Linked DNA regions of Xenopus tropicalis. The protein of the gene in region 2 purifies or fractionates together with the protein of the main gene of each other region. This does not show direct contact. Links are inferred from orthologs where the notes say so. Each region holds a gene or a part of one and is shown on either strand. Other genes may lie near its edges.

Region 1 (8,251 bases), on a different chromosome or scaffold from region 2:
TTTGTATGAAACCGCTGACCCAAGAAGCAGCTATGGCATTCATTCAAATGTTTTTTCCTCTTGAACAGCCTACAAGCAACTTGTGTATAAAAGCAGGGGTGGTTCCAGTCCTATTCAGCTCCATCAGGGAGTAGAGGGCAAAATAAGGATTTGGAGCTCTGGCTGACTATGTGGGTGGGATCACTAACATGTAAACAAACATTTTTTTGATAGGTTAATGGGGCATTATAGTCCCTGACCTCAGGTTCCCACCTATGACTCCTCACTCAACTGGCAAGTAGGTGGTAAAAGGTCAGTAAGGGTTCTCTCTTTATTAGGATTCCCACGTATGGACCACAGGTGGCAAGGGAAGCATGTAGGGCAGTGATACCCCAAACAGTGGCTTGTGAGAAACATGTTGCTCCCCAACTCCTTGGATGTTGCGCTCAGTGCCCCCAAACCAGGTAGTTATTTTTGAATTCCTGACTTGGTGGCAAGTTTTGGTTGAATAAAAACAAGATTTACTACCAAATAAAGCCCCTGTAAGCTGACAGTGTGCACAGAGGCAAACTAATACATAGTTGCATAGGGTTGAAAAAAAGACCATTGAGTCCATCAAGTTCAACCCTTCCAAGTAAACCCAGCACCCACAACTTACCTATCTATATATACAAACACTAATACTAACTGTAGATATTAGTATCACAATAGCCTTGGATATTCTGCTTGTTCAAGAACTCATCCAGGCCCCGCTATAGGCATTAACAGAATCTGCCATTACCCCATCACTAGGAAGGGCATTCCCCAACCTCACTGCCCTCACCGTGAGGAACCCCCTACGCTGCTTCAAATGGAAGCTCCGTTCCTCTAATCTAAAGGGGGGGTCTCTGGTGTGTTGATCGTTTTTATAGGAAAAAAGAACACCCCTATCTGCCTATAATCCCCTCTAATGTACTTGTACAGAGTAATCATGTCCCGTCGCAAGCGCCTCTTTTCCAGAGAAAACAACTCCAATAGCCAATCTTAGCCCTTATTTGGCACCTCCATGAACTTTTATGTTGCTTGTTTTGCTCTCCAAGTCTTTTTACTTTTGGCTGTGGCTCATGAGTAAGAAAGGTTGGGAACCCTTGACGTAGGGTTTGGGGAACTTGTCCTCTTATGTGGGGGGTGGGGGGAAAATCAGTACATGCTAAAGTGCAGCAGCAGCAAGGGGTCACTGATAACCTAATTTCCTTATCCCACATGGGCTAATCTAGACTTCCACCTGGGAAAATAAGACTTGGGATCCCAATGGAACTGTGCAATATTTATTAATTCTTGCCCTCACTTACTACCCCACTCCCACCGTGGCATAAGAAAGTACAATTTAGACCTAGGTAGAAAGTAAGCCTCTGGTTGTTTCTCCCATATATCTATATTGTATTCATTAATATAGTGCCACAAAAGTATGAAGTGCTTTACAAGGTATAAACACAAACAGGGGAATAGTTATTATAAACTATAGTTATAAATCAGGCAATACAAATACTTAACATTGTTTAAGTAGATGTTCAATACACAGTTGGGAACACCCAGAAAGTCTGCAAACTTTTTGGCATTCATATGCATGCAAGTCATTTAAATGTCCATTTTCATTTATATTTCTACCAGTAACGCTAGCTTCTTGCAATCCTTGCCTTCCAATGGCACGAGCAGCTGCAGTGCTCTAAAGAGAACTATTGTGCAGAGCCGTATTTACCAAATAGGCACCTGAGGGCCTGTGCCTAGGGCAGCAGCTTCCCATTAATCCTAGGATCTCATATTGTATAGCATGTGATCAATAACCTTTATAAAAAAAAAAAAAAAAAAAGATACAGAAGACAACATAGTCCCTCATCCCACTTACCACTACAGATTTTAGGATCTCAGTAGTAATGGAGGGCAGGACTCTCTCATCATAATCTTCTCCAATACTGGTGAAGATTCGCGGCAGCTGATTACCCATTGGCCGGAAAAGGATACGCAGTGTAATGTTGACGTTCTGTAGATCTGGAAAAATAAATGAGTAGGTCGTTGGTATAGACTTTATTTTAAACATAAAGAAAATTTGCATCACCACAACATTTTGCAATAACCAAAGCTTTAACTATGTACCAATATCACAAATCATAGGCTAGATGTTACAAGTGGGTCCAAGCCTAAAAGGCAAGCACCATTTCTCTCCTAATAGGTCATTTTTTTTTTTAACTGACCCTGAAAAGAGTGGAAAAAGCTTGGTGCCACTTACCTTTGCTCCCTGTAACAACAGGTACGTTGCGAGGACGTGAGCGACAGTCGAAAATGATGGGTTTCTGGACCCAAGGAATAAGGAAATGGGTTCCCTCGCCCACTACTGTTTCCTGTACTCCTCGGAACCTATCAAAGATGACTGCCTGGTGTCCAGCATCCACTTAAAGAGAGGAAAGAAAGGGGCGTTATGACTGATGACAAACAAATAATTAAAGCAATAGGAGAAGGATTGCACTGAAGTGAACTGGAGCTTTGAATAAAAGGCAGAACAAATTAACAAAGGAGAAGGTATTAAAAGAAAAGTATAACTTTTGCTTAATTATCTATAAATAAGTTAATTATATGAGCATAGCTATTTTCCACAGGGAGTGTGATCCATGCATCTGTTTATGCATAAGTGGCTGCTGCAATACTTGCTCCTGATAGGCAGAAAAATAATCAATACATTGGTGGCCAATTTATCATGAATATAGTATTGAGCACATTTATATCTAGGCCTTCAGAATAAAATGTAAGCGGGAAGGGACAGTTATGTACATTGAGCTATTTACCATTATATAGTGCAGAGTTCACAACCCCTCCAGCGACAGCCAGTCCTAGGCCAAGTTTCCCAATAGTCTCAAACAGTCGTGCTGCCATTGGTCCTGCGGGTTAAATCAAAACTAGACAAAAAAAAAGTAAGAGTAAGAATTACAACAGGTATAACCACCAGTACATCAGTGATATGTAGAACCCTTACTTTTATATAAGAAACCACCACCTAATTCACTTTGTCTTTTCTCACCATCTACACACTGCATTGTTTCCCAATCATTCCCCAGAACTCGGGGAGTAAATCATTTATTAAGTTATAAGCTCTGTTGAGCAGGGTCCTGCTTACCTCCTTTTTTGGTCAGTATTTGTACACAAACTCTGTTTTTATACATATAAAGCTTCAGAATAGCTTTGCGCTTTAGAAATACAGTTAACTAGAATAGCAATTATGCTACTAATTTTAATTAGTATTCTACTGTATAACAACCTGTTTTGGGTTCTGACCCACAGGTTAATGAAAACATTTTAATAAATGGGTATTTACTCAGGGCATACAGAGACTGGAGGCCCTTATTCACACCTGTAATCTGCTATACCAAGACTCAAGAATCCCCCCTCATTTTAATGAGCTAGATGCAGTTTGCTTTAACATTCAATTATAACAATGTTCCTATGGGATCTTTGTAATAAAACACTGATATTTGTTATTACAATTTTCATTGGCTGTTGTTCAAGGGTGGGGTACCTTAATCATGCCTACTTCAGTAAGCACAGACCATTTTTTTCTTCTTCCCTATGTCCAAGTTCATCAGTATATGGAAACCACTATGGTGTGGGGGCCCAACTATCACAACTTTACCCTGGGCCCATTGCCCCTTAAAGCAGTCCTGTGGTTAATTATGAGTTGCAGAACAAGAAGTTACTAAATAAAATAATTTTGTTGAACCTTGGGGACAAGATATTTTTCATAGACATATACTGAATTACTTATCAGCTTGTGTCCCAGTAGCTCCTGCCCCCCTGCAGTCATAGGGTCTCCTTCCTATAGTTACTGCAACAATTAACCTACTGCAGAGGTGTAGCTACAAAGGAGGCAGACCCTGAGGTTGCAGGGACACTAGCCAATAAGCAGCTATATGTACTGCCAAAGTAGTGGGGGGTCTAAAATGATTTTTTTTTAGTAATGCCAATGGCATATCTTCACACACTGAACACTTTTCTTCCCTGCCTTAGAAGATACAATGACCTCTAGATTGTGATACTTGTCTGTAGTTGGACTGAAAGTTCCCAGCATGCCTTGAGAGCCACAGATGCGCCACACTGACAGCTTTAGAGATCTATATGTTAAGGATCATCGTTCTAGCGACCTCACACTAATGTACTTTTTTATTTCTATTCTCTCTATACCTGATACACAGCTAATTATGCCCCCTACTCACCTCCTTACGTTCTGACCTCCACATGAAACACGCTTCCGGATCACGCATGCGCAATCTTCCCCTTTCAGCGCTATAACGTTATTCGCTGCTCGGCATCGCGTTGCATTATGGTACTTGTAGTTCCAGGGTTTGCTTTCCCTTACGCGTACTATATGCTTGTAGACTACACCTCCCATAGTAGCTTGGGCTGACGTGACAACCCATTGGCGGTCTTGACTGTCATGCGAAAAGGGGAGGTGAAATGCAGTGTCAAGGGCGGTCTAAATTAACTCTATCCTCAGCCTGATGAAACCATTAGCGAACCATTTTATTTCTCTGCATGCCTGGAGTTTAGCCTTTAGTAGGGGAGGACAGGGTGGACCCCTTCAGTGTACGTGAATAGTTCCAGCTAACTAGATAACTCCTGTTGCTCTCTGTATCTAAGAACACTAAATATAATTACTCCTTCCTCATGCTCCATTTTTCTACTTTGTACAGGATTCTGTTCTAATAACCCCCCTGCCTGTGTCCACTTTGGTTTAGCAAGCCTTTTAAATCCAATGGTGTCAGACTGAACCATCTCTTCACACAGGGGGATCTTACTGTAGCATTGGAATATACATATGCAGAATATATAAACTTCCTGAAACCTGCAGCACAGCAATACCTGATAACTGATTTCCCTCATACTTAATATTTTATCTATGGTCTCCATTACCCATACTGTGTATGGTGGCCATTGGGGCGACAGCCCTGGTGGGTGCTGCACACCCCAGTCCGACCCTGTGTAAGGCCAAGGTCACACGGGGAGTTTTTACATTGCGTTTTTAAAAACAGATTTGAGCGTAAATACGCACAAAATGAAATACACACTACAGCAATTCCCACGGGGAGCTTGCAAGCTGATATCCGCCACATGACGCCAGTGCTTGCGTTTTTCAGCAGAAACGCCATTACATCAAGGAAACGCCATACCTCTATGGGATCTACATGTGTGGAAATACACTTTGTTGAAATACGCCGCTTATTTTCAATATGGCATCTCTTGCGAGATGTATTGCACATATATGTATTTGCGGCGTTGTATGCTGGTGATGTAATTATGTAGCATCTTGACGATCAGTCCGGCTACATTTTTGCACCTAAATTGCTTTTCAGCTTGGCTTTTGTCCCACAAAAGTTTAATAAAATTCTTCAGAGATGTCTTCCTCCAAGGCTTTTTGTGATACGGAACGTCATTACAAACACGTGTAACAGCAGAAATGTGGGAATGTGGGAAAAAGCTAGAAATGCATGTTGGGAAAACAACACTGCAAGCTGAAAAACGCATTATTATGCTCGTGTTTTTGCTGCCATATTTATACTCAACTACGTGTTAGGGTTAGTAAAAACGCCCCATGTGACCTCACCCCAAGAAGAAAATAGGCATCTCCCACCTATATGTGCATATACTGATATACTGTCTTGTGTGGCAAACGAAACCACCCCAGCCATGTGATGTCAATAGAGGCAAAGTCAAAATATATCAGCAAAGCACAGGGCCAGGAATGTTGAATTATGCCCCACCGATGGCCAAAGCACAGATAGGGTAAAATATGGCCTTGAGCATATGTAATTTAATTCTTCTTCCACTACCCATCTCAGTTACGAGAACAACTGTAGACCTTCTGTACTGTGCCACCGGGGATTCACACACCAGCAGCTATCACTTTTCTGGCTATAAAATGCAGAGCAACACTTCCGGGCTAGCAAGGGCCATCTCCCGCCATTTTGGGTCCTCTTCACTGTGATCAGTGACAAGATGCAGGCTCCTGTGGCAAGACTGCAGTAAAGAAGGCCCAAAGCAGTGTGAAATGGCACTCGCCAACCCAGCTGCCCTACTCTTAGGTTTTTTTAGCCATAGCTTAATAGCTGCTGGAGTGTGAGTCCCTGGTGACTGGCTTCAGGAGGGAGGCCTCTAAAGGGGGCCTAGGGTTGTCCTAAGGGTTTAGTAACATTAGATGTTTAAAAGCTGTTGAGAAAATAAGATATATAATCCAGTTCTGCATCAGTGCCAGATTCCAGGGTGGGCACTCTCGTTTTGAGGCAAACTTCCATCTGGCTGATACAGTTGTTCATAAATACTAGCCCAACAGTGACTGCCAGGCTGAAACACCCAGAATATGATCTCAGGCCTTGCAGCTGTTCTGTACGACAGTTCCCAGATGCACCACTGGGTCCAATTGTTTTAGTCCTGGTGCATTACTACATGTGAAAGCAAAAAGCACCCCCTTGCATAGGAAAAGGATACGTCTCTGAAAGGTGACAGTTCTGGTCTAGTGCTTTCTAGTTCCACGTAGACAATATGAGCCTGCAGATAAGATGGGGCACAAGCAGAATGTATTTGTGCCAGATGCACCTTCCCTCCAGCTCCTAATCACTCCATTTAATGCCTAAAGGTTGCCATACACAGGCCGATAAAAGCTTCTCAAATGGTTTGAGTAGATATATGGCCAACAATTGGGCAGATGTTGATCGGGAAGGTTTCTAAATCCTGTCGGACTGAGGAGGGCATTGGCAAGTTGATGTGGTCCTCATCCCTGCATCCAGTCTATGTGAACCATTGGCCCAAGCGATCGGATCAGTCCAATATCAGCCACCTCAAGGTGAGTATATCGGGGAAGTATCCACTCAATTAGTGACCTCGCCATACGAGCGGATCTTTCTGTGTTTGCCCAGCTTTAGTCTTTCCCAGGTTTTACTTCTGGCTAATGAGCAGAATTGGGTCAGAAAAAGGGGAAATGTAAGGGCCACATTCATTCAGATTGGCTCCTGGGAAGGTTTCTATTCCGACACTCTGTAAGTGTCCCCATCCCATCTTTTAATTTGTGTACCAAAAATCAAATTTAGAGAAAGGTAAAGCAAAAACCATGCAAAAAACAAATTTAACTGAGAGCACAGGGCAAAACCTTGAGCATTTGAATTTAAATTATTACGACTTTCACTAAGGGTCCAGTGAACCTTTGTGCACATAATTCCCACCATATTGCAGCCTATGCCAGGGCAGCCAGTGTCTTTTTATTTCTACCCAGAAATGTGCCCAAAGTGCCCTATTTAGTCTAGCATTTAGTATTAGCATTTAGTATTAGCATTTAGTCTCCGTGCAAATATAGAGAGAATGAGGTGAAAGCTGGCTTGCTGAAGAATCAACCCACAGAGTATTGCTTCAGCCTCCTGTAATGGGCACTAGAATGTAGCTTCCATGAAAGTGCTCTGCCCCCCCCCCCCCCCATGTGGAGGTCAAGATTTTTTTTTGCTGGAGGCCTGGCTCATTATTGCTATGTCAAAATGTGTTTTATTGCTTTTCTGTGAGGGTCAGAGGAACAAATGGGAACCTCAGTCTGTTCTCACAAGTTTACTGTTTAATGATATTTAATGGTATAATGGTATTATATAGGGATCAGACTACTCATACGGGCAGCAGCTGAGAAATACTGCGTTCAGTTCAACTGAAGAAGCTGCTCAGATGAGTAGTGAAATGTCTTCAATGATTACTCAGCAAGTCCAGTTGCTCTAGATTTACGTATAATAGATATTATGATACAGAATTACAAAGAGAGGGAGCGATTTTATTTGAAAAAAAATACCTTGATTGGCGCAGGATATATAGGTAAAAGACACTGGTAAAAAATAGGTACAGGTATAGGAACTGTTATCTGGAATGCTTGGGACCAATGGTATTTTGGGTAAGGGTTCTTTCCGTAATTTGGATCTCCATACCTTAAGGGGCTGATTTACTAAGACACGATTTCGAATCCGAATTGGAAAAATTCCGATTGGAAACGAACATTTTGCGACTTTTTCGTATTTTTTGCGATTTTTTCGGCGTCTTTCCGATTTTTGCGTAAAAACGCGAGTTTTTCGGCGTCTTTACGAAAGTTGCGCAAAGTCGCGATTTTTTCGTAGCATTAACACTTGCGCGCAAAGTCGCGCCTTTTTCGTAGCGTTAAAACTTAAAAGGCGCGACATTTCGCGCAAGTTTTAACGCTACGAAAAAATCGCGACTTTGCGCA
Region 2 (7,816 bases):
ATACTTCATATATCCTTATGTATCCTATGTACCAAAATAAAATGTCTGAGATATAAAAGCCAGGCTTCTTCAGAACAATTTGATGACTAATTTTCATAGCAATACCGATATATTAGTGTAAGCCATATAAAGACCTCAGTATGAAAATATTGCTTATACATTTCCACATTTTCAAGGGCAAAAATAATTAATCCACAGCAATACACAATACAATAAACTAACCTAAATTCAATAAAACTAATTTTTAAGCGCCCCCCTCAGTAATTTTGCACATGCATGTGACATAAGTTTTGGGTGTGCATGGTAATCTACGTATGCCAAATGCCACTGTCTCGGCTTGTAGCTGGGCCCCTCTTCCACTGCATTTTGCCTCTGTTTATGATGCCTTGCCTTTAACTCTTTTTGCTTTAAGGTGCCAGTAGATTAATAAGAAACCCTGAAGTTTAGAGTCCGTGGTGTTTGCAACCTGAAACTTTTGAGTTGTAGATTCTATGTTGACCATTTAACAAAGGGTTGGACCATGGTTCATTAATCCTTTACCTTTTATTTATCCTAGTCAGGATGTTTTGAATATGACACCAGGCTCCAACTCATTCAGCTGTCCTGTGCTGTATAAGTTCATATTTGTTAGTGTTAAAGTGATACTGACACTAAAAATCTACTCTTCAAAATATAAATGTACATAAAAAGTTCCCTATAGGTCATGTAGATCATTTTTCCCTGATAGGACTGCTTCTGTAAGTAATTGTTGTCTGAAGTTCCTAAATTTGGCAACCTGACTGTCCCTTCTCAACCTGTCCGTTATAGCTTCTAATGCTAACGGACTAATGCTGCACAAAGATGGCAGCCCCCTCATAGACCAGATAGGTAATGTAAAAGCTTTGAACAAATGCCTTTATGTCAAAGTTATAAAGAACATGCAAAGACAGTGTTATGACCAGTTTTTCAGTTGTCCTTATTTCTTTAAGGGTTGCAATTTTGTTTTATTATTTTTAAGTCTGCAAAATCTTTTTTTATGTCTCTAGGCACAATGGCTGTCCCACCATCCTATGCTGATCTTGGTAAATCTGCCAGAGATATATTCAACAAAGGATATGGTAAGTCCCAAATCAGTCTTGTCTCGAGACACGTGGTAGTAAAGTGCATGTCATAAAACAGTAAAGATATGGGATTACTTATCCGTAATGCTTGGGACCTGGGTTTTTCTGTAATTTGGATCACAACACTTAAAGGGGGAACTATACCCCCAGAAAGGATACTTAACCAATACATAAATTATATTATATTGGCCTGTGGCCTGTAAAGAAAACTTACCAAACTTAAATATATAAATATACATGCATGTATGGGATCCATTATCTGGAAACCTGCTATCTAGAAAGCTCAAAATTATGGAAAAACTGTTTAAAACTGATGCAAAATATGCATAGAGCCATAATAGCCCACATTTTACTCCTTAAAACAATGCATACTTCTGATGCATTTGGGTGTCAGAAATACCTTCTAAGAGCATTGCGTCTGTGGCTGACAAAGCAAAATAAATATTTTTCAGAGAACAGTTTTTGAATTTCCAACACTAATTCCATATTTGCAAGGGGCCCTTGCTTCCCCTGGGCCTTCCCTATTCACCTGTATCATTTTCTGACACAAGCTTTAAGAACAGGAAAGTTGTGATTGACACTATCCTTGGGGGGTGGCGCAAAGTATCAGCCTACTAGAGAAAAGTCCTCCTGTCCCCCAAGGCAAAACAGCTTTGACAAAGCTCGGCCTGACCAAGTGAAACATGTGTCAGGTGCTTTTAGCCGGTGGTAGATAGGCAGGGCGCCGTGAACTCATTTGTTGTTGATGGGTGATTTGGGGGATGGGTGTTGCTGGGATGGGTGGTTGTGGGCTGGATGACCTGGATAGCGGGGCAAGCTGTGGATCACTTGGGGCCTTCCCCACTAGTATAGCTTTCTGAGGACTGTGGTGTACCTTGCAAATCTGGGATTAAGGCTGGTCACCTTTATCTTTATAGTTATATGTATAGTTTTATTATATATTAGATTTAAAAAGTTATTTATTATATATTTATATTATATTAAAAAGTTACTCTTGATTCTACTTGTTTTTAGAGCAAATGTGGGACAAAAATTAATTTAATTAACATTTTCTTTACTTAATAAATGCAGTCTAAAAAAACCCCATCTGATTATTTTCCTTTAGCCACTCTGTGCATGCTACAAGTCAAGAACATTCTGTGCCCTTTTGTTTAAGGGGCAACTAGCTTGTCACATTATATGTAACGTAAAGATGGCCTGCTCTGGTAGATTTAAGCTGTCAAAGTAAACTTGGGGATATCCATCTTTCAGCTACTTTTAGTGGTTTATTTCCTGTTCTCCATAAAGACCCAAGGTCATGGGATTGTAAAATATACAAGCACACTGTTGGATATTTCAGTCAATAATGGTGTCTTTTCTACTAAAAAGAGTGGGGTTGATTTGAGTGGAGGCTGAACAGGGGTTTCTTTTTATTTCAGCGGTTGTTAATTTTATGTATGTACTTACTATGCCTTTTTATAGCATAGCTTGCTGCTAACTTACCATGAACTATTATGACTAACCGCTCCCAAAATTCACGACACCTAAGCCATTTCTCTGTTTGCTATACTCCTTTTACAATAGTCTAGTTCCCAGCAAGATTCCTGCCTGACTCTAATGGTAGCCCTGTCAGTTACAGTGTGTATGTTAAACGGGTTATAAAGTCAAAAATTATAATTTTTCTGTTATTTGAACCGAATGAAATAAATATTTATAATTAGAATCACTTGTTTTTTACTTCTCATTGTTACCAAGCCCTTTTGTCACAGCTGCTCTAAACCTCCACGGCCAGTGGCTGTCTGTTTCTCCTACTCATCCTGACTGCCATTAGACTGAATGAGGGTGTGTATGTTTACTCTGCACATAAGGTGCGCCCATTGCTAACACAAGAATGCTTTAAAGGCAAAGTAACACTAAAAAAATTTTAGTAAAAAATCTATTACTGCACCGATAATTGCTCTATCCTGCAAAACACTTAGTATTTTGAATGCTTTATTAGATAATACCTTCTAAAACTTTGCTTCCGGTCATTTGAAATAAGGCGATACAGCGAAGGAAGGAGCAGCATTCACTATGCGACGATCGATTGATCGAGCCTAGCCTGAATCGTTCCTATACAGAAGGAAGGCTAGGCTCAATCAATCGATCATCGCATAGTGGATGCTGCTCCTTCCTTCACTGTATCGCCTTATTGCAAATGACCGGAAGCCAGGTTTTAGCAGGTATTTTCTAATAAAGCATTCAAAATATTAAATGGTTTGCAGAATAGGGCAATTATTGGGGCAGGGTAGAATAGATGTTTTACTTAAAAAATTTTAGTGTTACTTTTCCTTTAACAAATCAGGATTACATGTACTAAAAATCCTGTTGTAAAGACGAGCTATAATCCTGTGCACCAGACCAAAAAAAATTGTGGTTTGTTTAAAAAAAGCATCATTAGCCACACTGTAGATAAGGTGATGTCAAGGCAAATGCTGTAATAGAGCCTTTCTGCAGAGAGAAAAAAACATTCCCACTCATCATTTGGCTCAAGACAATGAGGAGAACGGTGCTCCATTTAGGTGTGTTTAAAAGCTATTTTAACTGCTTTGCCATAAAAAAAAAAAAAAAAATCTTATTAAAACGTGTGTCAGAGTCCTTTCCTATGTCAGGCTTATCTATAAATGCAGCATGTACAATTTGACTTTAGATCTCCTTTAAATACTGTTCATATAGGAGTATGTGTTGTAGTAATGCATTAAAATCTTTGCATTGAAAGTTATGGTCTTGTTGCTTGTCAGTAATCTCATTACTTTGTTTTTGTTTTGTTTTTTAATAAGGTTTTGGACTGGTGAAACTCGATGTTAAGACCAAATCTGCAACTGGAGTGGTGAGTTCATCTGTAAAGTCTTTATTGTTTTTCCACCGTGTCTACTTTTGTAAGGCTGTATACCGTAACTATTTCCTTAAAACACTGTTTCTTTAAAATATGTTCTTGGATTTCTTTAAAAAATATCCAGGGCTACAGTTAAAGGCCTATTTATCAAACTGTAAACAAACAAAAAAGCAAATATACCACACAGCCACACTTTTTTGCATGTGCGAATTAGTTATTAAATCTCTTGGTACAAGCTTGTCCTAGATAAGATTTTTTTTCATCATCTTTTGCATTAACTGGGTTACTTGGGCTAATGGTTACATACATGCACATGAACTGCTATAATAAAATATTATAGCAAAAAAAAAAAGCGTTTTAATTTTTTGCAAAGTGAGGTAGTGGTAGATGTTGTTTAATCTGCAGATTTTATACCACGGCAAGTGAGAATAGCATCAAGATCAATAAAGCTCATTGCCTAACTTTTTTTTTTTTTTACCAGGAATTCGCAACATCTGGTTCCTCAAACACAGACTCGGGCAAAGTAAATGGCAGCCTAGAAACTAAATACAAATGGGGAGAATATGGATTAACCTTCACAGAGAAGTGGAATACAGACAACACTTTGGGGACAGAAATTGCCATTGAAGACCAGGTGAGTGCACTACAGGTTTTAGTAACAGTCTGTTTTTGTTATGTGTTTCCTATTTCACACCAAACATTTCACACTAATAATGAATCCAGAGAACCCTAACTATTCAATTGATTGTAAAGTAATACAAAGAGGAAGTTTAGAATTGCTCTTTTAATTAAAAAGGGGTTTAAAGGAGACATATAGTATAAATTGGAAAACCCTAATTTTGTAGGCAATTAGGATTAATGTTTAGCCCAAAGGGAAACCAGCACCGGATATTATTCATATCTGTAACAATGGCCCCTTTATTGGAGCTCCCTATAGATCCTATCTCTTCTCTGACCATGTTTGAAATGAAGAGTGGGCGTGTCCTAACGGTCCCTGCCAGAAGCACAGTAGGAGGGGGAGAGCCAATCACAGCCCTGCACTCACACAAGCACAGACAGGCTTTAGTTCCCTATCAGGTCAGCCTAGTTGCTGATTGGTTCCTATCCTACAGTGCAGTGTACAGAGGGCCGTCGGCTCCCCAGCTCATCCAGAGAATTCAGCCAGCAGGAAGTGGCACAGATGGGCGGGGCTAGTGGGGGTTTGGGGGAATTTCTCAATAAATTAGTCTGAAACACAACTTTTTTAAGCACAATCCTTCTATATCTAGAGGAGTATAATTTCCTGGTACATTCTTAATTTTTATAAGATATGTCTCCTTTAAAAGTGTGGGCGAGGCTTTTAAAATAAGCACAGAATTAATTTAAAAAAAAAATCCGTATTGCACACTCTACCAAACCAATATTAACAGTTGTTTCATAGGTAATCCTACGATCACTCCTACAATGAAAATCCCTCTAGACCAGGGCATTTAAGCATAAAACCTTTAATCAAAGTTCTACAAAAAAAAAAAACTTGTAAATGATATGGAGATGTGCTTTTAGACCCACTTCCACTTCCTTTGAAGATTGTATTTGTATATATAATATATAACAGGAGAAGAGTGGAACCGTACTCACAGGTCTTGTGAACAAAAAAAAAAAAAAGGTTTATTAAAGATGGACTAACGTTTCAGCTAGCAGTAAATATAATATATACATATAATAAAACAAACCATTAAAAAACACAAAGAAAAAAAAACAAATAGCGAGTAAAGAAAAGTATTGCAAGCAAAAAGTTACACGTATACAACACAGAATGACCACATAATCAGTTATTAGTAGAAACTATGTTTATAGACACTATAGTATACGTGGAGCCTATTAAGAGTTAGGAAACTCATCCAAATATTTTGAAGTATGTATAAGTCAACACAACACGATTGACATAATTGAAACAGCTAACATGTTTCCCTCTTCTTAATAAGATCAGTTCTGTTAAGTATATATCTTTATATACAAATGGTACTTACATTAATCTAAATTTTCAGAGGGATATTTGAGCTGTGTAGAGCAAGCTAGAGTCCCCGAGGAAAGTCGTAGAAGTCGGTTATGCACTTAGTGCAGTAAGCTACATAGGTTGTCATACCGATTGAGTGATCAGTGCATTACAGCACACGCTCTTGGTACGGGGCATCACACAGGGTTGTCATAGTAACTTGGAATCAACTGTCTAACTACAAGGGAGAGTAGTAATAGCTATGGGGTTATAATGGCAGGTTACGATAAACTTAGAATGGAACTTCCTTGTGCGGTAGTGGTTATGTGTATGTGGCTTTACTTATAAAGAATGTGTAGTGCAAATGCAAACAGAGGAAGCTTTGATTAGAAAAGATGGAAAAAGGTGAAGATTAAATAGAGGAAAGAACTGAAACGAGCGAGTGCCAGGCTGCAGTTAAGGTTAGGAACAGAGGATCTCCTATTTAAATCTGATAATCAAAGTATGAAGTGTGACCAGTAGCAAACGAAAATACATTATACAGGCCTGCTGTGTGCGTTGATAAACTGAAAGATCTCAAGTCAAGCTTGGGCAAATGTTGGAACGGCCACCGTTGTATTTGGGTATATGGTGTTATGGTTAGTACATAACTTACACTGTATAGAGGTATAACACACAACCTGTCCAATAATGCGTCAACAATGTTCTTAAAATGTAATATTTGGTTTTAATAATATACCTGTGATGCTTAATGTAAAATGGTCAAAAACCAATATTAATCAAGTTACTCGTTAGCAGTGCAGTATATCAAAGCAGGGAGCATACTGTTCCTTGATGGTACCAAATGTGGTAACTACCAGATACGTAATACAAGAAACCGGTGCTTGTATTACGTCACAGTGGGAAAGATCACTTAATTAATTTGAGGATGAATATAAAGAGTAAAGAAACAATAAGGTATGTAGGCAACTGTAAATAAGAACAAAGTATATAAAGAAGGGATCAAGCAAGTGTGTAGGACAGAAAGGTAGGTAAACATAGTACAAGGCAGAACATAAAGTGGTCTAAACAGGACAATTTAACCAAAACACTATATTAAAGCTCAACCACTATCTGATGCATCAAGCACAATAGGTCAATCAAGAAACATTGTAGAAAACATAATCAATAAAAAGGAGCATAAGAAATCGGTTTGTTCAAAACTCCGGAACTCAAAGTATCCAAACGATGGATCTATCCAAGTTTTCTCGGTCACCACCCCATGATGATGATGGTGGTTGTGGTAGGAACAAAATCAATAATCGTACTTCTCACAGGCCAAGGAGTGTCTTGATTCCAGAAAATGTTTTGACACTGGGGTGTCTCCTTTATCAGTGTCTAACACAGTCCAAATGGCCGAGCAATGCTTCGCCATTCTGTCACGAAAATTGGTGACCATTTTGCCCACGTAAACTAAACCACACAGACATTTAATGGTTGGTACAATAAATTTAGTAGTGCAAGTCGCACAATTTTTGATGGAAATCGCTTTTCCAGAATGCAGATGATAAACTGAACAGGTAACCTGCCCGAAGACAGAGACTGACATTTCTTACCACTTACACTCCAACTATACAATACTTTGAGAAAGGCTAGACTGGCTAGCTGAAACATTAGTATATCTTTAATAAACCTTTTTTTGTGTCATATAAGACCCGTGAGTGCGGTTCCACTCTTTTCCTCTATTTTATATATAATCCTCTATAATTAAATAGCAAAACAGTACAGATTCACTCATCACTAGTAGTATTCAATGCTTCTAAAGAGCTTCTTTCCTGCAAAAGGGTCAGATATGAATTTAAAAGAATTCAGTCGCATACTGATGGTTGCAAAGCCTCAACGCCTTTA
Region 3 (8,496 bases), on a different chromosome or scaffold from region 2:
TGTGTGTGCCATACTCTGCCTGCCCTACCCTTCCTGTGTGTGCCATACCCTCCCTGACCTATGCTGCCTGTGTGTGCCATACTCTACCTGCCCTATGCTGGCTGTATGTGCCATACTCTGCCTACAGTACCTATGTCTGAGGTGTGAAGAAGTGAACAATGGGAGTGATTACAGGCTGAGCCTGAGGTGTGAACACTGCAGGGGGTGAACAATGCAGGTATTAAAAGGTGTGAAAAACACCCCCCGTATTTCCTGGGAGAGGCTAACAGCAACTGTCGAAAATGGAGGCCTAGCCTTGCCACACTTCTACTTCTACTACTTAGCCTCCCAAATCTACTACATACACTGGTGCCTTGCTCCCAATCCATATAATCCCAATACACAACTTCAAGCGTCCATCCTCCACTCAATAGAAGGCCTAAGCACCTATCCTTATAGACACCACACAGATATGACCAACCTACCACATACGCTACTGACTCCACATAAAGCATGGACCACAGCCTTGAAAAATATGCACCATCCTTGGCCACTCCTCTCACCCCAACTTCCACTCTGGGCCAACTCGCTCCTACCCGACCTACAGGAACTACAGGACTACACCTATTGGCCACGACTGGGTTTTAAGAAACTTGGAGACCTAACACTTGGTCCTCAGTTTCCCACATACCAAGACCTACAAGACAGAGCTCTGGGAAAGCAGATACAATTTTATAGATACCTCCAACTTAGGCACGCCTTTCACGCACAATTCCACACCCTTCCTCCCACAATAACCACAGTAACCCTAGAGGACATCCTGCTCTCTCCATCTCCAGCCAAACTACTATCTAGGCTATACAAAGAGATTATGACAACAATTAAGCCACCCTTTGATCGAGCCTACCGTCTTTGGACGCAAGACATCCCAGAACTAGCACAAGACCAATGGGAGGAAGCCACAGAAAATGCCTATGATTTCCTAATCCCAATAAAGGATAGGCTCATACAGTACAAATTTCTGCACCAAACCTACATAACACCCCTCAAACTGATGAGATTTGGGAGAAGACAGGATGACCTCTGCCCAAGATGTAAATCCCCCGGGGCCAATTTCTTCCACATGATTTGGTCCTGTCCCCCCATACACGAATTCTGGTCCAAAATAATGGAAACACTAGCAAGTGAACTGGGTACACCGCAGATAGTAGACCCAATAACTTGCCTATTAGGAGTCATAGATGGAATAATATGCACTAACGTGGCCAGAGTCAGACTGCGTACGCTCATGTTCTACGCCAAAAAAACAATAATTATGCACTGGATGGGAGACACCCTCCCCTCCCAAACATTCTGGAGAAGGCTGGTGGATGGAGCTCTCCCCCTTATCAAATTAACCTATGAAACAAGGGGTGCTTATGACAAGTTTGACAAGATCTGGGAAAATTGGTATAATCAAGACAATCTGGACACATAACCTACCCCTTCACACTAAATGTGACTGATCCGACAGAACTAAACACACTCACCTACACTGTGATAACTACAACGCCTAGTAATAGCACCCTTGACTGTATTGGCCTAAACCTGACTCGACACCATTTCAATCTTAATGTCAATATATTATACACTGTTTTGTATTTTTGTTTTGTGATGTTGTAAAACCAATAAAAAATTTACCTATAAAAAAAAGGTGTGAAAAACACAGGGGATTACATTTTTCAACAATACAGAGGGATTACAGCCTGAATCTGAGGTGAGAACCATGCAAGGGGCCAGTTAATCTCAGTACTGATACCATTTAATGCTTACTCAAAGGTAAGCCATCAAAGCAGCCAGACAGGTGGGGGGCCACACAGAGGGGGGTCGAAGGCCACATGCGGCCCGCGGGCCGCCAGTTGGACAGCACTGCTCTAGCTGCCTATTTCTGCCTAAATCACCCTGGCATTATTTCCTTAGAAACAAAAGAAGCAATATGTTAACCTTAAGCATCTGATCAATACAAATTCCCTAAAGATATTCATGTATAAAAACTGAGTATTACAGAGGTGCCTGAGCCACGAGAGAGACGAAAACACATTTGAACACATTTAACAAAATCACTGAAGGCTGATCTTTTACCCAAGGACTGTGTGCCACCTTCAAAAGATTTTTTTAAAGCCCCCAGAAGTGTTCTATACATTGTATTTCACTAGGATAGAGTACAGAATATAATCACTGTTTCATCTAGACTGAATAACAGTTTCCATTTTTCAATGGCAAAACCTTTGGCATGATAATGCATGACTGTAAGTTCTTAAGGCAATAAATATTAACTGAAAGGTGTCAGAGAGAAGCTGTAATCACTCACAATGTATGGCAATGAGAAAATGCAAGCAGCATATTAACAGCATTAAAGGGGTAGTTCACCTTTTTATTTATTTAGTTATTTAAAGAATGTCTGCATCTTTCCAGCTTCCAAATTAAAATGCTATCTGGCTAATGGGGGTCATTGACCCCTGCAAAAAGATAAATAAAACAAAAACACTGTTGTCATGTAAGGCTACAGTTTTATTATTGTTAATTTCAATGACTTTTCTTTCCATTCTTTTTCCAGACTGATATTCAAATAATGCATGGCTGCTGCTAGACTCAATAAAAACCCTAGGAATCAAATAAAGGGGTAAAATGTTAAACTAGAGAACTGCTTAAAAAAGGTATATTACTCAAAAACTACAAAACAACAAAACAAAAGCTTAAAACCAAATGCTAATTATCTCAGAACGTCACTGTACTAAAACTAGTGAGGAAAAAAATATTTAACAACCACGCCAAAAGTAAATCTTATTCTGATATATGCAAGTGTAGCAGGATATACTGACACCATGTATCAATCACCCAGGGAAGGAAAAACATCAAACCATTATACAGCACATTAACATGAAGAAAAAAGGTGAAAGTGTGATTAGAGCCAATAGGGATATAATAATGCCACAAGTCATTTGTATATAGAAAAAGAAGACTAGTTAAGTGTAAGGTATTAATAAGGGGAGCAGTCTCTTGCTGGGGTACATTTGTTTGATGTTCGTTTGAGACTCATCTTTGAGCACACCTAAACACATTTTCTACTTGATTCCATTATATTTTGCCTGGTTGAACGCACGAGCGTTCAGAATTGCGTTTCACCCAAAAAATTTTTTAACATGATGCATTTTCTAGCTATTGACGTGCATTCATAATTCACTAGAATAGAGGGTTGTTTGGAACCAACAAAAACACACAGGTGCGTTTAAAAAAAACACATATAAACCCAATATATGTGGGTTTTTTTGCACTCAGCATGCATTTGCAAACACGCAAAAAACACTTGTGAGTATGAGCCCTTACAAAATACAACAGACTTACTATAGGGACTGTTTATAGTGGTTTTTATGGATATTTAAAAAAAAAAAAAAAAAAAAAAAAAAAAAATATTTTATATATATATATATATATATATATATATATATATATATATATATATATATATATATATATATTCTTTAAATAGGAAATGCTAACTACCCTACTTGCCAAAGGGCAGAGAAGTGGAGAATAAACAAGAGATAGACAAGCACTTCAAAAGGTGAAAATAATGTCCAATAAAAGGTAAATTAATATATAAAATTGCATTAAAGAATAATAAGGACCACCCTGTTTATTCTGTGTTCAGACATTATGGCATCTGAATAATGCAAACAAAAATATTAGTTGGCAGTTAACAGTGATAGGAGTGAGGTTAGCAATTACAAAATGAATGAGGAAGTAATAAGGGAAAAAACATTTAGGAAGGGCTGAAGAGGAAGGTGAGCGGATACCATCAGGGGTATGAAGAGGGTAGCGTATTTGCAAATTGTTGGAGAAAGAGGAAGAGCAGATGACAGAGAAATAGAAGAGGGAACATGAGGACTTGGAAAGGCAGCTGAGAAACTGGAAAAGGTACACAGATTCCACAATGTTGCATAATGAAGAACAGAAAGTGGGAAGGGGTAATGAAAGGATTACACAGGTGGGCTGGGCTTAGAAATGGGTAAAAAAAGAAAGATGAAATAATCACTGTTATACAGCAGGTGAATCGTCAGCCTCAATAACACACTGGGTAATTATCAACCTGATTTCTAGCAATCATGCAATAAATGCATAAAACAGGGTGCATTCTAGCTGGCTAGCAGGGACACAGATAAACAGGGCAAGTGAGCTCATTAAGGCTTGTGGCCTTATAGATTAACAGCCCTGAAATAGGGGTGACACACAATAATGAGCCACTGTGGGGTTGTATACTGTATGTTTTATAAATACTGGGTAATACTATAGTGGAATGGCGAGGAAGGAGACTGATAAGTGATGATGATGAGGGACATTTAGCAATAAAGTGTTGCAGACACATAACGCTGAGAGAAGGGAGGAGTAAAGGGGACACTATTAAACATGTGAACAAAAGCTGAAGCCTGAAAGGGTGGGGATCAAAAAAGGAGAATAGAAACAAAGTATATCTTCATTACTGCTGTGGCTGCTACTGGGCTACTGCTCCAAATATCCCCCCCCCAAGGGCTCAAGCAAGGGTGGTTCCTGTCAAGCAACAGAGTGAAGATCCCTGATTCCCACAGCTGGGGAGCCACAGGCAGGGGCCACGGCTGCCATCGGAAACCCACCTTACCTTTTGGTTTAGAACACTGGCCTCCCCTAATACACCGAAGCATAACAAAATATAGAACGGTCTCATCAATGGCGAGGGCCCCCATGGATGAACCACCTATGCCCCCACGGATGTACCCCCTATCCCCCCACGGATGTACCCCCTATCCCCCCACGGATGTACCCCCTATCCCCCCACCACGGATGTACCACCTATCCCCCACGGATGTACCACCTATCCCCCACGGATGTACCACCTATCCCCCACGGATGTACCACCTATGCCCCACGGATGTACCACCTATGCCCCACGGATGTACCACCTATGCCCCACGGATGTACCACCTATGCCCCACGGATGTACCACCTATCCCCCACGGATGTACCACCTATCCCCCACGGATGTACCACCTATCCCCCACGGATGTACCACCTATCCCCCACGGATGTACCACCTATGCCCCACGGATGTTCCACCTATGCCCCACGGATGTTCCACCTATGCCCCACGGATGTTCCACCTATGCCCCACGGATGTTCCACCTATCCCCCACGGATGTACCACCTATGCCCCACGGATGTTCCACCTATGCCCCACGGATGTACCACCTATCCCCCACGGATGTACCACCTATGCCCCACGGATGCCTTGGGAGGGACCGTCCCGGTGCCAGCCCAGCTGCCGTTGTATTATCTCACTCAGCATCCCCGACATGATGCCATTCGCCTTTAGGCCCAGCAGCACAATCAGGGCTACCTGCCGGGGGAAGGGTGGGTGCCTTTCGAACACTACCATAATGGTGTTGCCCAGGCCTCGCTATCAGGCCTCCGCTAGTGTCGGGCGCTGGGTTGAATTAAGCCCCCCGACTAGGTGCCCCCTGCCCAAACCCCCAGTGCCCCTCTCACCTGCTACGGGTGGGTTGTTGTGGCGTCTGGATGTCCCGGGCCGGTCAGATACTATACGCCGGGCCCGCTGCTTGTCTCCGCTTCCTACCCCTGCCAACCCTTCTCTTCCCAACGGAAGTGACACCCTGTCATGGGGCGCCTGACGTCAACGCCTCCTCCTAATTACCTATTGGCTAAAACGGAACGGGGCGTGAAGAAGGAAGGGAGTAAAAGGAAAAACACCACGTGATTTGCTGTGTCACCGCCTTGCCGCCATATTACCTGGGGACTTGAGATGTCGGGAAGGCAGTATAAAAGACCACTTTGCCTCACAAAAACAATAACAGAAGAAAACGTGCTTTTTGTCAAACATATGTTGTTATGTTCATACTGTGTTCAGCGTTTTATTTCCATGAGAAACAATTTATTGCTGGACTATTGTGCAACTTGGCAGCACAATCCATTTACTTTGAATAGCAGTTTCATATTTCTGATTGTAAGTGGGGCATCGTTATTACTGGCCTACTGGCACATTGTTCCCTCCTGAAGTGGCTTGGGGCATGCTATCACCCCTCCTCACTAATGGTGGCCAATACAAAGGCTGATTCTAGCTGCCGATATCGGTTTCTTTAGACGGATTCAGGGTCGGAGTGGGGGTGCAGGGTCCACCAGGGCTACTGCCCCAAGGGCCCCCACGAGTCTTCTGTACCCCCACAGGGGACCCCGCCCGACATCCTCCCCTGATCGTGCGTAACTACAACGCCATACCTCCCAACTGTCCCGCTTTACCCGGGACAGTCCCATACCTCCCAACATTTGAAAAATGAAAAGAGGGACAAAAAGATTCCGTGCGTGCAGCATGGCAATTTTTGACCACGCCCACTTTTGTGGCCACGACCCAATTGCCACACCCCATCCATTTTTTTTTCAAAAAATTCTCCTTTTATATAGTAGAAATGGCGGGATCAGACGCAAATGTGCTATTCCCTCATACTGTACTACCTAAGGAAAACAATATAGCAACTCCTACATATAAAATACAAATATAGAGAGAAGGCAGTCAGTTATAAGTGAGTTATAACTATGTACCAGTTTGCCCCCCCATACACAGTGCCCCCAATAGCCTAAAAGACAGTACTACCCATACACAGTGCCCCCATACACAATGCCCCCCATAGAAAGTGCCCCCCATACACAGTGCCCCCAATTGAGACAGTCCCCCCATACACAGTGCCCCCAATTGAGACAGTGCCCCCCCTACACAGTGCCCCCAATTGAGACAGTCCCACCCCATACACAGTGCCCCCAACTGAGACAGTCCCACCCCATACACAGTGCCCCCAATTGAGACAGTGCCCCCCATACACAGTGCCCCCAATTGAGACAGTCCCACCCCATACACAGTGCCCCCAATTGAGACAGTCCCACCCCATACACAGTGCCCCCAATTGAGACAGTCCCACCCCATACACAGTACCCCCAATTGAGACAGTCCCACCCCATACACAGTGCCCCCAATTGAGACAGTCCCCCCCATACACTGTGCCCCCAATAGAGACAGCCCCCCCATACACAGTGCCCCCAATAGAAACAGCCCCCCCTATACACAGTGCCCCCAATAGAGACAGCCCCCCCATACACAGTGCCCCCAATTGAGACAGTCCCCCCCATACACTGTGCCCCCAATAGAGACAGCCCCCCCATACACAGTGCCCCCAATAGAGACAGCCCCCCCATACACAGTGCCCCCTATAGAGACAGCCCCCCCCATACACAGTGCCCCCAATTGAGACAGTCCCACCCCATACACAGTGCCCCCAATAGAGACAGCCCCCTCCCCCCGCATACACAGCGTTCCCTTCTTCTTCGTACCCAGCGGCTCCTCAGTGTATGCGGCTCCTTCTGCGGCGGTCCCAGGCCCTTTTATAAGGTTGCGCCCGTGCGTAATGACGTCACACGTACACACCGGGCGCAACTTATAAAAGGGCCAGGGACCGCCGGAGAAGGAGCCGCATACACTGAGGAGCCGCTGGGGAAGAAGGAGCGCCAACGCATCGCGCTGTCCTGGGTAAGTCAATGAATGTTCCGCATTTCCTAATTTATTACGGAAATGCGGGACATTCATGGAACTATCAGGGACAGCGGGATGCGCTCTAAAAACCGGGACTGTCCCGCGGAAAGCGGGACAGTTGGGGGGTATGCAGTCCCAATTTTGCGTCTCTTTCCCGCTGTCCCGGACAGCCACCGATTTGTCCCGATTTTAAAATTTTCCCGTGACGTCACACGCGTCGTTTGTTAGCGTCGCAGCTTCTGCGCCGCACAGGTCAGTTCTAACATTTAGGGATTCACTGTGCAGAAGCTGCGGGGCTAACGAAAGATGCGTGTGACGTCATGGGGAGGAGAAGAAGAGCCAGGGCACAGCCGCGGCAAGCGGGCAGGGGGTGGTAGGAGCAGTAGGAGACGCAGAATGCAGGGGGACGCTGGAGGAAGGTAAGGGACAGCTGGAGGATGCTGGGAGGCAGCTGGAGGAAGGTAAGGGGCAGCTGGAGGACACTGGGAGGCAGCTGGAGAAAGGTAAGGGGCAGCTGAGGGACGCTGGGGAGGATTTTGGGTGGATGCTGGGGGGAGCTGGAGGATTTTGGGTTCTTGCTGGGGGGAGTTGAAGGATGTTGGGGAGGACACTGGGGGGAGCTGGAGGATGTTGGGTGGATGCTGGGGGGAGCTGGAGGGAGCTGGCTAGCTATGTCTTTCATGAGTCATGATATACAGGTGCCACAGTGCATAATAAAATCCTTGGGTCCACAATATGTCATAAAATGATTGGGGCGACTGTGTCTGTCTTCTGGTGCGCTTTTGTGTATTTTATACTTTTCGCGTGTGGTTTTGTAAAATGGGCCTGTTGGGGGGGGCGTGGCCTAAAAATTTAGCCCCGATACGAGCGCCACATATTTTTGTCCCTCTTTCTGCTTTTCAAATGTT
Region 4 (8,320 bases), on a different chromosome or scaffold from region 2:
ATATCAGTAGTTGGTCCAATAAAGAGCCCCTGGGGCAATAAGGCCTGGGTACTGGAGCATCTCCCAGTGGGCCCAAGCACTAGTGGATCCCAGATGTGGACAATTCCCATTCATTCTTATTTTGGCCTTCAGGTCCAAACTCTTCAGGGTGACTATGGTAACAAACATGGGATCTACCAACTTGGGCAGATTCCCATTAAAGTTCAAAGATCACACAGCTAAAGCAGCCTGTAGCCAATGAGAGCAGTGGAATATAGCCACGAGCCAATCAGAATATTCTCAAGGGCAGACCAACTAGCAGCCAATCGCAGAGCAAGAGTGTTTCAGGGTGAGATACAATGTAGCAGTTGAATGGTTACAGCTATGGGCCAATCAGCTGGCGGGGTGCCCCGGGGGTGCAGTACGGATACAGACACTTACCTGCTTCCCAGACACCACCATGGCGATGCAGCCCAGGATGGTCATTAGGATCATGAGGTAGGAGACCTTCACCCGCACCTTGCTCTTAGCCATCTCCACCATGTCGTACCTGGGGCGGGGCATAAAGGCACCACGTCATGGCCGCTCTGTGCCCTGAAACACCTTAAATACACCCCCTGCCACAGCAATGACATATTGGCCCCACCCACTGACACAGTTCCCGCCTCCCAGTAAGTGGGGGGTGGGAGTTAATTACACACTTACTTGCCCTTGAAAAGCCAACCCCCCTCAAGCCTCTCTCTAGCCCCGCCCACAGCGCAGGTGATATACTCACGTCACAAGTTCAGGTATATCCTCTTGTTTTTTAAAGCGACCGCCCCACACCAGAATCTTCTTTTCAAAGTCGGTGGGTCTGTGTCCTGGTACCTTGAATGTAACCCCTGAATGGAAAGAAGTTATTTTAAGTTACAGTTCTAGGATCTATATCCCAGTGCCCAGAACATTCCCTCTCTGTATATTTGTATTTATACATATGGGTAGGGGGTGCCATAGTGTTTCCCTTAGACAGTACAGTATGGGGGTACAGCTTATTGTGTGCCCAGAACATTCCCTCTCTGTATATTTGTATTTATACATATGGGTAGGGGGTGCCATAGTGTTTCCCTTAGACAGTACAGTATGGGGGTACAGCTTATTGTGTGCCCAGAACATTCCCTCTCTGTATATTTGTATTTATACATATGGGTAGGAGGTGCCATAGTGTTTCCCTTAGACAGTACAGTATGGGGGTACAGCTTATTGTGTGCCCAGAACATTCCTTCTCTGTATATTTGTATTTATACATATGGGTAGGAGGTGCCATAGTGTTTCCCTTAGACAGTACAGTATGGGGGTACAGCTTATTGTGTGCCCAGAACATTCCCTCCCTGTATATTTGTATTTATACATATGGGTAGGAGGTGCCATAGTGTTTCCCTTAGACAGTACAGTATGGGGGTACAGCTTATTGTGTGCCCAGAACATTCCTTCTCTGTATATTTGTATTTATACATATGGGTAGGGGGTGCCATAGTGTTTCCCTTAGACAGTACAGTATAGGGGTACAGCTTATTGTGTGCCCAGAACATTCCTTCTCTGTATAGAGACAGCGCCCCCCGCAGGACAGTATCAAGAGCAACAAAAATGAGACCAGGCAACTTACCAGGCTCTTTGGGCTTCACCTCTTGGGGTTTGCTGCACAGCCATCTCGGGATCCCCAACGTCCGTGTTGGCAGAGGGTTGTGAGTGGGCACAGAGCCTCCTCTCAGCACAGTCACTCGCTCTGAGCAGAAGGTTTGAGTTAGTGAGACTTACTGCCACCCCCGGGCACCTACCCAGCAAACTGGGGTACATGTAATAATGACCCTGTGTACCTGCCCCCTCTCTGCCAGCATTAGTTTATACCCCACCCCCAGGGCTGCCAGGTCAGTATTTCCCCTTTTTAAACACATAAACCATATTTAACCTCTCGGGTGCCACCCCAACATTGGGTCACTGTGGCCCCTTAAAACACTGCCATCCCCCCCATAATTCGACACTGAAGATTCTCATTAAAGGAGACTGACAATGCGCCTAGTGAATCCGACGGCCCATTCCCACGGCCGGCACCTTGTTATGACAGTCAGTGAATGGGGGGATTGTTCTGTGGCTCCCAGAGCTGACTCGGGGCCAATTCCAGCCATTCAGAGGCCTCAATACCAGACTGGCGCTCTGTTGATTCAGGGGAACGTGGCACGGTGCCAGGCTGGGAACTTATCCGCTACATTCCTGGCACTGTGGCCCCGCTCCAACTCCCTGCATCTCCAATAGGGGAGAGCGGCCATGGGGCCCCAGCAGGGAAGGCTTCTGGTACAGGGGATCTGGGGGCTTCCTGGCAGCAACCAAAGGGGAAGGAAGAGATGGTTGAGTAACAGGTACTTGGGCTTAAACATACACCTGCCCCCCCCCCAATCACTGACCCACAACAGCCCAAAAGTAAATACTGCCCCCCCATTCTCTCCTGTATTGGGTCTGATCCTAAGCCCTTTACCATTGTATGCCCCAGGCCAACCCACTGTGATGATGTCAGACTAACAAGGCCTGTAGTACCCAGTACCCTGGCTGGGGGGGGGCTGTAGTACCCAGTACCCTGGCTGGGGGGGGCCTGTAGTACCCAGTACCCTGGCTGGGGGGGGGGGCTGTAGTACCCAGTACCCTGGCTGGGGGGGGCCTGTAGTACCCAGTACCCTGGCTGGGGGGGGGGGCTGTAGTACCCAGTACCCTGGCTGGGGGGGGGGGGGGCTGTAGTACCCAGTACCCTGGCTGGGGGGGGGGCCTGTAGTACCCAGTACCCTGGCTGGGGGGGGGGGCCTGTAGTACCCAGTACCCTGGCTGGGGGGGGGGGGCTGTAGTACCCAGTACCCTGGCTGGGGGGGGGGGGGCTGTAGTACCCAGTACCCTGGCTGGGGGGGGGGGGCTGTAGTACCCAGTACCCTGGCTGGGGGGGGGGGGCTGTAGTACCCAGTACCCTGGCTGGGGGGGGGCCTGTAGTACCCAGTACCCTGGCTGGGGGGGGGGGGCTGTAGTACCCAGTACCCTGGCTGGGGGGGGGGGGGCTGTAGTACCCAGTACCCTGGCTGGGGGGGGGGGGCCTGTAGTACCCAGTACCCTGGCTGGGGGGGGGGGGGCCTGTAGTACCCAGTACCCTGGCTGGGGGGGGGGGGCCTGTAGTACCCAGTACCCTGGCTGGGGGGGGGGGGGCCTGTAGTACCCAGTACCCTGGCTGGGGGGCTGTAGTACCCAGTACCCTGGCTGGGGGGGGCTGTAGTACCCTGGCTGGGGGGGGGCTGTAGTACCCTGGCTGGGGGGGGGGCTGTAGTACCCTGGCTGGGGGGGCTGTAGTACCCTGGCTGGGGGGGGGGCTGTAGTACCCTGGCTGGGGGGGGGCTGTAGTACCCTGGCTGGGGGGGGGCTGTAGTACCCTGGCTGGGGGGGGCTGTAGTACCCTGGCTGGGGGGGGGCTGTAGTACCCTGGCTGGGGGGGGCTGTAGTACCCTGGCTGGGGGGGCTGTAGTACCCTGGCTGGGGGGGGGCTGTAGTACCCTGGCTGGGGGGGGCTGTAGTACCCTGGCTGGGGGGGGCTGTAGTACCCTGGCTAGGGGGGGGCTGTAGTACCCTGGCTGGGGGGGCTGTAGTACCCTGGCTGGGGGGGGGGCTGTAGTACCCAGTACCCTGGCTGGGGGGGGCTGTAGTACCCAGTACCCTGGCTGGGGGGGGGGGGCTGTAGTACCCTGGCTGGGGGGGGGGGCTGTAGTACCCAGTACCCTGGCTGGGGGGGGGGGCTGTAGTACCCTGGCTGGGGGGGGGGCTGTAGTACCCAGTACCCTGGCTGGGGGGGGGCCTGTAGTACCCAGTACCCTGGCTGGGGGGGGGGGGCCTGTAGTACCCAGTACCCTGGCTGGGGGGGGGGGCCTGTAGTACCCAGTACCCTGGCTGGGGGGGGGGGCTGTAGTACCCTGGCTGGGGGGGGGGGGTGTAGTACCCTGGCGGGGGGGGGGGGGCTGTAGTACCCTGGCTGGGGGGGGGGGGGCTGTAGTACCCTGGCTGGGGGGGGGGGGGCTGTAGTACCCTGGCTGGGGGGGGGGGGGGGGCTGTAGTACCCTGGCTGGGGGGGGGGGTAGGTATAAATCCTGGCAGTGGCCCTAGAGCTGTAAGGGGCCCAGACAGACATTAAAGGGGGCGGGACCTTGCAGGCAGAGAGCACAGTTCGGGAAGGACATGGCCGTGTGTATTATTCCCCGGGAGGTGAAACACTAATATACATGATGACTTTATTACATGCCACCTTCCCTGATTCCGCACAGCTCTGGGGGTGTAACAGAGAGGGGATATCCGTTATACACAGCCCCAGAGCAACGCCACTTTCCTTCCCTCAGAGATAACGGTAACCCTCCCTGCTCCCATGATCCTCCCCGGCACCACTTCAGTCTACCAGCAAACCCACGTGTTACCCACCGACCAATGAGCGCAGCCCGCTCCTCCTCAGCGCTGCTCCCCACATCCTCAAGGCAAGAGGCAGCCGCTCTCTGTCAGCGGGCCCGGAGTCACGTGTTGTTATAGGCACGCCCGCGTCCGCAGACAACCAATACGCTTGCAGAGGCGGGATATATTGTGTAATTGCGTGGAACGCAACGTGCGTGCCAAATGTATTTCCGGGGTGCTTATTGTAGCTGTCCGTGTCAGGGCCGTACTGCCCCCTCTGATAGTTACACTCAGTTACAGTGCGCAGAACACGGTGCAGGGAGATGGCTTTCCGAGCTGTATTTCCTTGTGATTAATCCAGTATTCTCTGCCCCCTAGTGGTGAGAGCTGGCAGGGAGCACCCCTGGTACAAGCATAGATACAACCAATAGCTATAACATTGCCAGCCTATAAGCAATGCCCTGCCCAACCCCGGGCACTTTAGCAACTTACTGACAGTTATAGGTATATACCATGACAGGATCTTTTACATTTGGGTATGTTCATACACATGGATCTTATTGGGTCCCAGCTGATCCACTTCAAATGGAGACTTTCCTCTGCTTTCTTGGAGCAGTAGTGGGGCAGATATGGGGCAGTAGTGGGGCAGATATGGGGCAGATATGGGGCATCAACTCACTTGGGTGAATGAAAGGATTAGGGTTACTTGGGCTGGATGGGTAAACTGAGCAATATGGACGCTGTGTGTGTGGCTAGTGTTGGCCTGTGTGTGGCTAGTGTTGGCCTGTGTGTGGCTAGTGTTGGCCTGTGTGTGGCTAGTGTTGGCCTGTGTGTGGCTAGTGTTGGCCTGTGTGTGGCTAGTGTTGGCCTGTGTGTGTGGCTAGTGTTGGCCTGTGTGTGGCTAGTGTTGGCCTGTGTGTGGCTAGTGTTGGCCTGTGTGTGGCTAGTGTTGGCCTGTGTGTGTGGCTAGTGTTGGCCTGTGTGTGGCTAGTGTTGGCCTGTGTGTGTGGCTAGTGTTGGCCTGTGTGTGGCTAGTGTTGGCCTGTGTGTGGCTAGTGTTGGCCTGTGTGTGGCTAGTGTTGGCCTGTGTGTGGCTAGTGTTGGCCTGTGGTTGTGTGGCTAGTGTTGGCCTGTGTGTGGCTAGTGTTGGCCTGTGTGTGGCTAGTGTTGGCCTGTGTGTGGCTAGTGTTGGCCTGTGTGTGGCTAGTGTTGGCCTGTGTGTGTGGCTAGTGTTGGCCTGTGTGTGTGGCTAGTGTTGGCCTGTGTGTGGCTAGTGTTGGCCTGTGTGTGTGGCTAGTGTTGGCCTGTGTGTGTGTGGCTAGTGTTGGCCTGTGTGTGTGGCAAGTGTTGGCCTGTGTGGCTATCATTGGCCTGTGTGGCTATGACACAGGGGAGAGCCGGAGGAAGCAGCGAGGAGTGGGCCATAGTATGAGGACACTGGGGAAGGACCACCAATGTTTTAGGGGGCCCTGGGCTGGCTACCAATGTTTTAGGGGGGCTATGGCCACCAATGTTTTAGGGGGCCCTGGCTACCAATGTCTGTGTGTCCTTTGTACTCATGGGAGGGGTTACTGGGGGAGGGGCCATGTGGCATGGGTGGAGGAGGGGCCATGTGGCATGGGGGGGGGGGGCAGAACATTTTGTTGTGAGGGGCCCGTGATTTCTGATGGTGGCCCTGGGTATAAGCTGTATTTATAGTCCCACAAAGAGACTAACAGAAATCTGGGGTGCAGTACTCACACTCAGTGCCACCCCTCCGGTGCACCTGGAAGTACCTATATTGTACGTGTGTACAGGGCGGGCAGCGGGGCCCCTCTGGGGGGTGTGGGGGACCCTGGGGTGGTCCCTGCACCCCCCAGTCTGACCCTGTCAGGTACAATGTATTGGTTTTGGCCCCTCCCTACAGCAGACTTCCCATAGGGACACCTGTTTGGGTGCTGGTTACAGTGGGTGCAGGTAGAACACAGGGTGACGGGCTGGGGGTTCTACTCCCCTTGGGCCAATGCCAGACGGGGCTGATTCTCAGCCTGTGGGTAAATGCCAACAAACAGCCCCTATGGGCATCAGCCTTTCCCTGTATTTGCCCCGAGAGCCATTGTGTGTGCCCTGTGTGTGCCCAACCCACCGCCATGGCTCCAGGGGCAACTTCAGGGAAAGACTGATGCCCATTAGCCATATAGTTACCCCACTGGGTTTAGGCAGGGATTATTAACCAATGGGCTGGGCCTTAAAAATGGGGCTTTTTGCTGTTCCCTTTGGGTCTTCACTATACCCCCCCCCCCCCCCCCTCTATTTTATTTCAAATACAGTAAATAAGTATTTCCACTTGGCCACAACATGTTGTTGTTTGGGCCCCAAAGGCTTGCAATTCACTGAGATCTGATTGGCTCACTGTCTGCACCAATCCGGTCGGCTGGCAGCACCCAGGGATCAGGGATAGAGGGGCCCAAGCAATGGGTCGGGGAGGGTGCTGGGAGTCAGGCTGATGGGAGTTTCAGTTTAACCCTTTATATACTGGAACCCTTTCCACTCACTGTACAGCACTGTGACCCTATAGGAATAAGTACGTTCCGGGTTCCCCTGAGTTGTACCGTGACACCCCAATAACATTCACCCACACGGCTCCCCGCTAACTCCCGGCACCTTCCAATCAGGCCCCTCCCCAGGCAGCCTATCGGGAGGCCGGGACTGGGGGGGCGGGGCCTTCCGGCTTTTCCAATATGGCGGCGCCCAGCGGAGACGGGAGCTGCGAAGACTTCACTGAGTTTCAGGTGAGGGCAAAGTTTCCCGCCGCGCCAGGGGGAGTCCGGGCAGGTAGAGCGGGGCCGGGGTAATAGTGCGGGGCCGGGGCAATAGTGCGGGGTAATAGTGCGGGGTAATAGTGCGGGAAGGAGAGAGAGGGGAAACTGTGCGGTCATTGAAACGACCCCTGCTTGGGTTTCTCTGTGGGACCTGAGGTGCCCGGGGGGCTGGGAGTTGGGAAGGCACACAGGGGGATCATGGGAAGGCACACAGGGGGATCACGGGAAGGCACACAGGGGGGTCACGGGAAGGCACACAGGGGGATCATGGGGGACAGGAGGCACACAGGGGATGGCGGGAAGGCACACAGGGGGTCACGGGAAGGCACACAGGGGGGTCACCGGGAAGGCACACAGGGGGATCACGGGAAGGCACACAGGGGGGCTGGGAGTTTGGGAAGGCACACAGGGGGATCACGGGAAGGCACACAGGGGGGTCACGGGAAGGCACACAGGGGGGTCACGGGAAGGCACACAGGGGGGTCACGGGAAGGCACACAGGGGGATGGCGGGAAGGCACACCAGGGGGTCACGGAAGCACACAGGGGGGGTCACGGGAAGGCACACAGGGGGGTCACGGGAAGGCACACAGGGGGGTCACGGGAAGGCACACAGGGGGATCACGGGAAGGCACACAGGGGGTCACGGGAAGGCACAACAGGGGATCATGGGAAGGCACACAGGGGGGTCACGGGAAGGCACACAGGGGATCACGGGAAGGCACACAGGGGGTCACGGGAAGGCACACAGGGGGGTCACGGGAAGGCACACAGGGGGATCACGGGAAGGCACACAGGGGGGCTGGGAGTTGGGAAGGGCACACAGGGGATCACGGGAAGGCACACACAGTCACGGGAAAGGCACACAGGGGGATCACGGGAAGGCACACAGGGGGGTCACGGGAAGGCACACAGGGGGGTCACGGGAAGGCACACAGGGGGTCACGGGAAGGCACACAGGGGGGTCACGGGAAGGCACACAGGGGGGTCACGGGAAGGCACACAGGGGGATCACGGGAAGGCACACAGGGGGGTCACGGGAAGGCACACAGGGGGTCACGGGAAGGCACACAGGGGGGATCACGGGAAGGCCACACAGGG

Evidence for each region.
Region 1: the proteins of vdac2 (region 2) and phb purify together in Homo sapiens (affinity purification with mass spectrometry; 4 studies listed by BioGRID, with this or other methods). This does not show direct contact. The link is inferred for Xenopus tropicalis from reciprocal best matches to the Homo sapiens genes VDAC2 and PHB1.
Region 3: the proteins of vdac2 (region 2) and rab7a purify together in Homo sapiens (affinity purification with mass spectrometry; 3 studies listed by BioGRID and IntAct, with this or other methods). This does not show direct contact. The link is inferred for Xenopus tropicalis from reciprocal best matches to the Homo sapiens genes VDAC2 and RAB7A.
Region 4: the proteins of vdac2 (region 2) and fam162a fractionate together in Homo sapiens (co-fractionation; 3 studies listed by BioGRID and IntAct, with this or other methods). This does not show direct contact. The link is inferred for Xenopus tropicalis from reciprocal best matches to the Homo sapiens genes VDAC2 and FAM162A.

Annotation. Positions count from the first base shown.
Region 1 is NC_030686.2:14,015,974-14,024,224, forward strand, and holds the start of phb (prohibitin), read right to left. Parts: upstream 4,259-8,251; 5' UTR 4,221-4,258; intron 4,144-4,220; exon of another isoform or gene 4,044-4,143; intron 2,910-4,043; 5' UTR 2,887-2,909; coding exon 2,799-2,886; intron 2,408-2,798; coding exon 2,246-2,407; intron 2,008-2,245; coding exon 1,865-2,007; intron 1-1,864.
Region 2 is NC_030683.2:54,946,839-54,954,654, reverse strand, and holds part of vdac2 (voltage-dependent anion-selective channel protein 2), read left to right. Parts: intron 1-1,025; 5' UTR 1,026-1,030; coding exon 1,031-1,097; intron 1,098-3,898; coding exon 3,899-3,948; intron 3,949-4,435; coding exon 4,436-4,588; intron 4,589-7,816. UniProt on the Homo sapiens protein: Non-selective voltage-gated ion channel that mediates the transport of anions and cations through the mitochondrion outer membrane and plasma membrane.
Region 3 is NC_030680.2:135,593,703-135,602,198, reverse strand, and holds the start of rab7a (ras-related protein Rab-7a), read right to left. Parts: upstream 5,644-8,496; 5' UTR 5,539-5,643; intron 1-5,538.
Region 4 is NC_030678.2:3,412,389-3,420,708, forward strand, and holds the start of fam162a (protein FAM162A), read right to left. Parts: upstream 4,771-8,320; 5' UTR 4,499-4,770; coding exon 4,453-4,498; intron 1,742-4,452; coding exon 1,622-1,741; intron 861-1,621; coding exon 755-860; intron 530-754; coding exon 421-529; intron 1-420. Other genes in the region: ccdc58 (coiled-coil domain-containing protein 58), read left to right, coding at 7,140-7,190. UniProt on the Homo sapiens protein: Proposed to be involved in regulation of apoptosis; the exact mechanism may differ between cell types/tissues.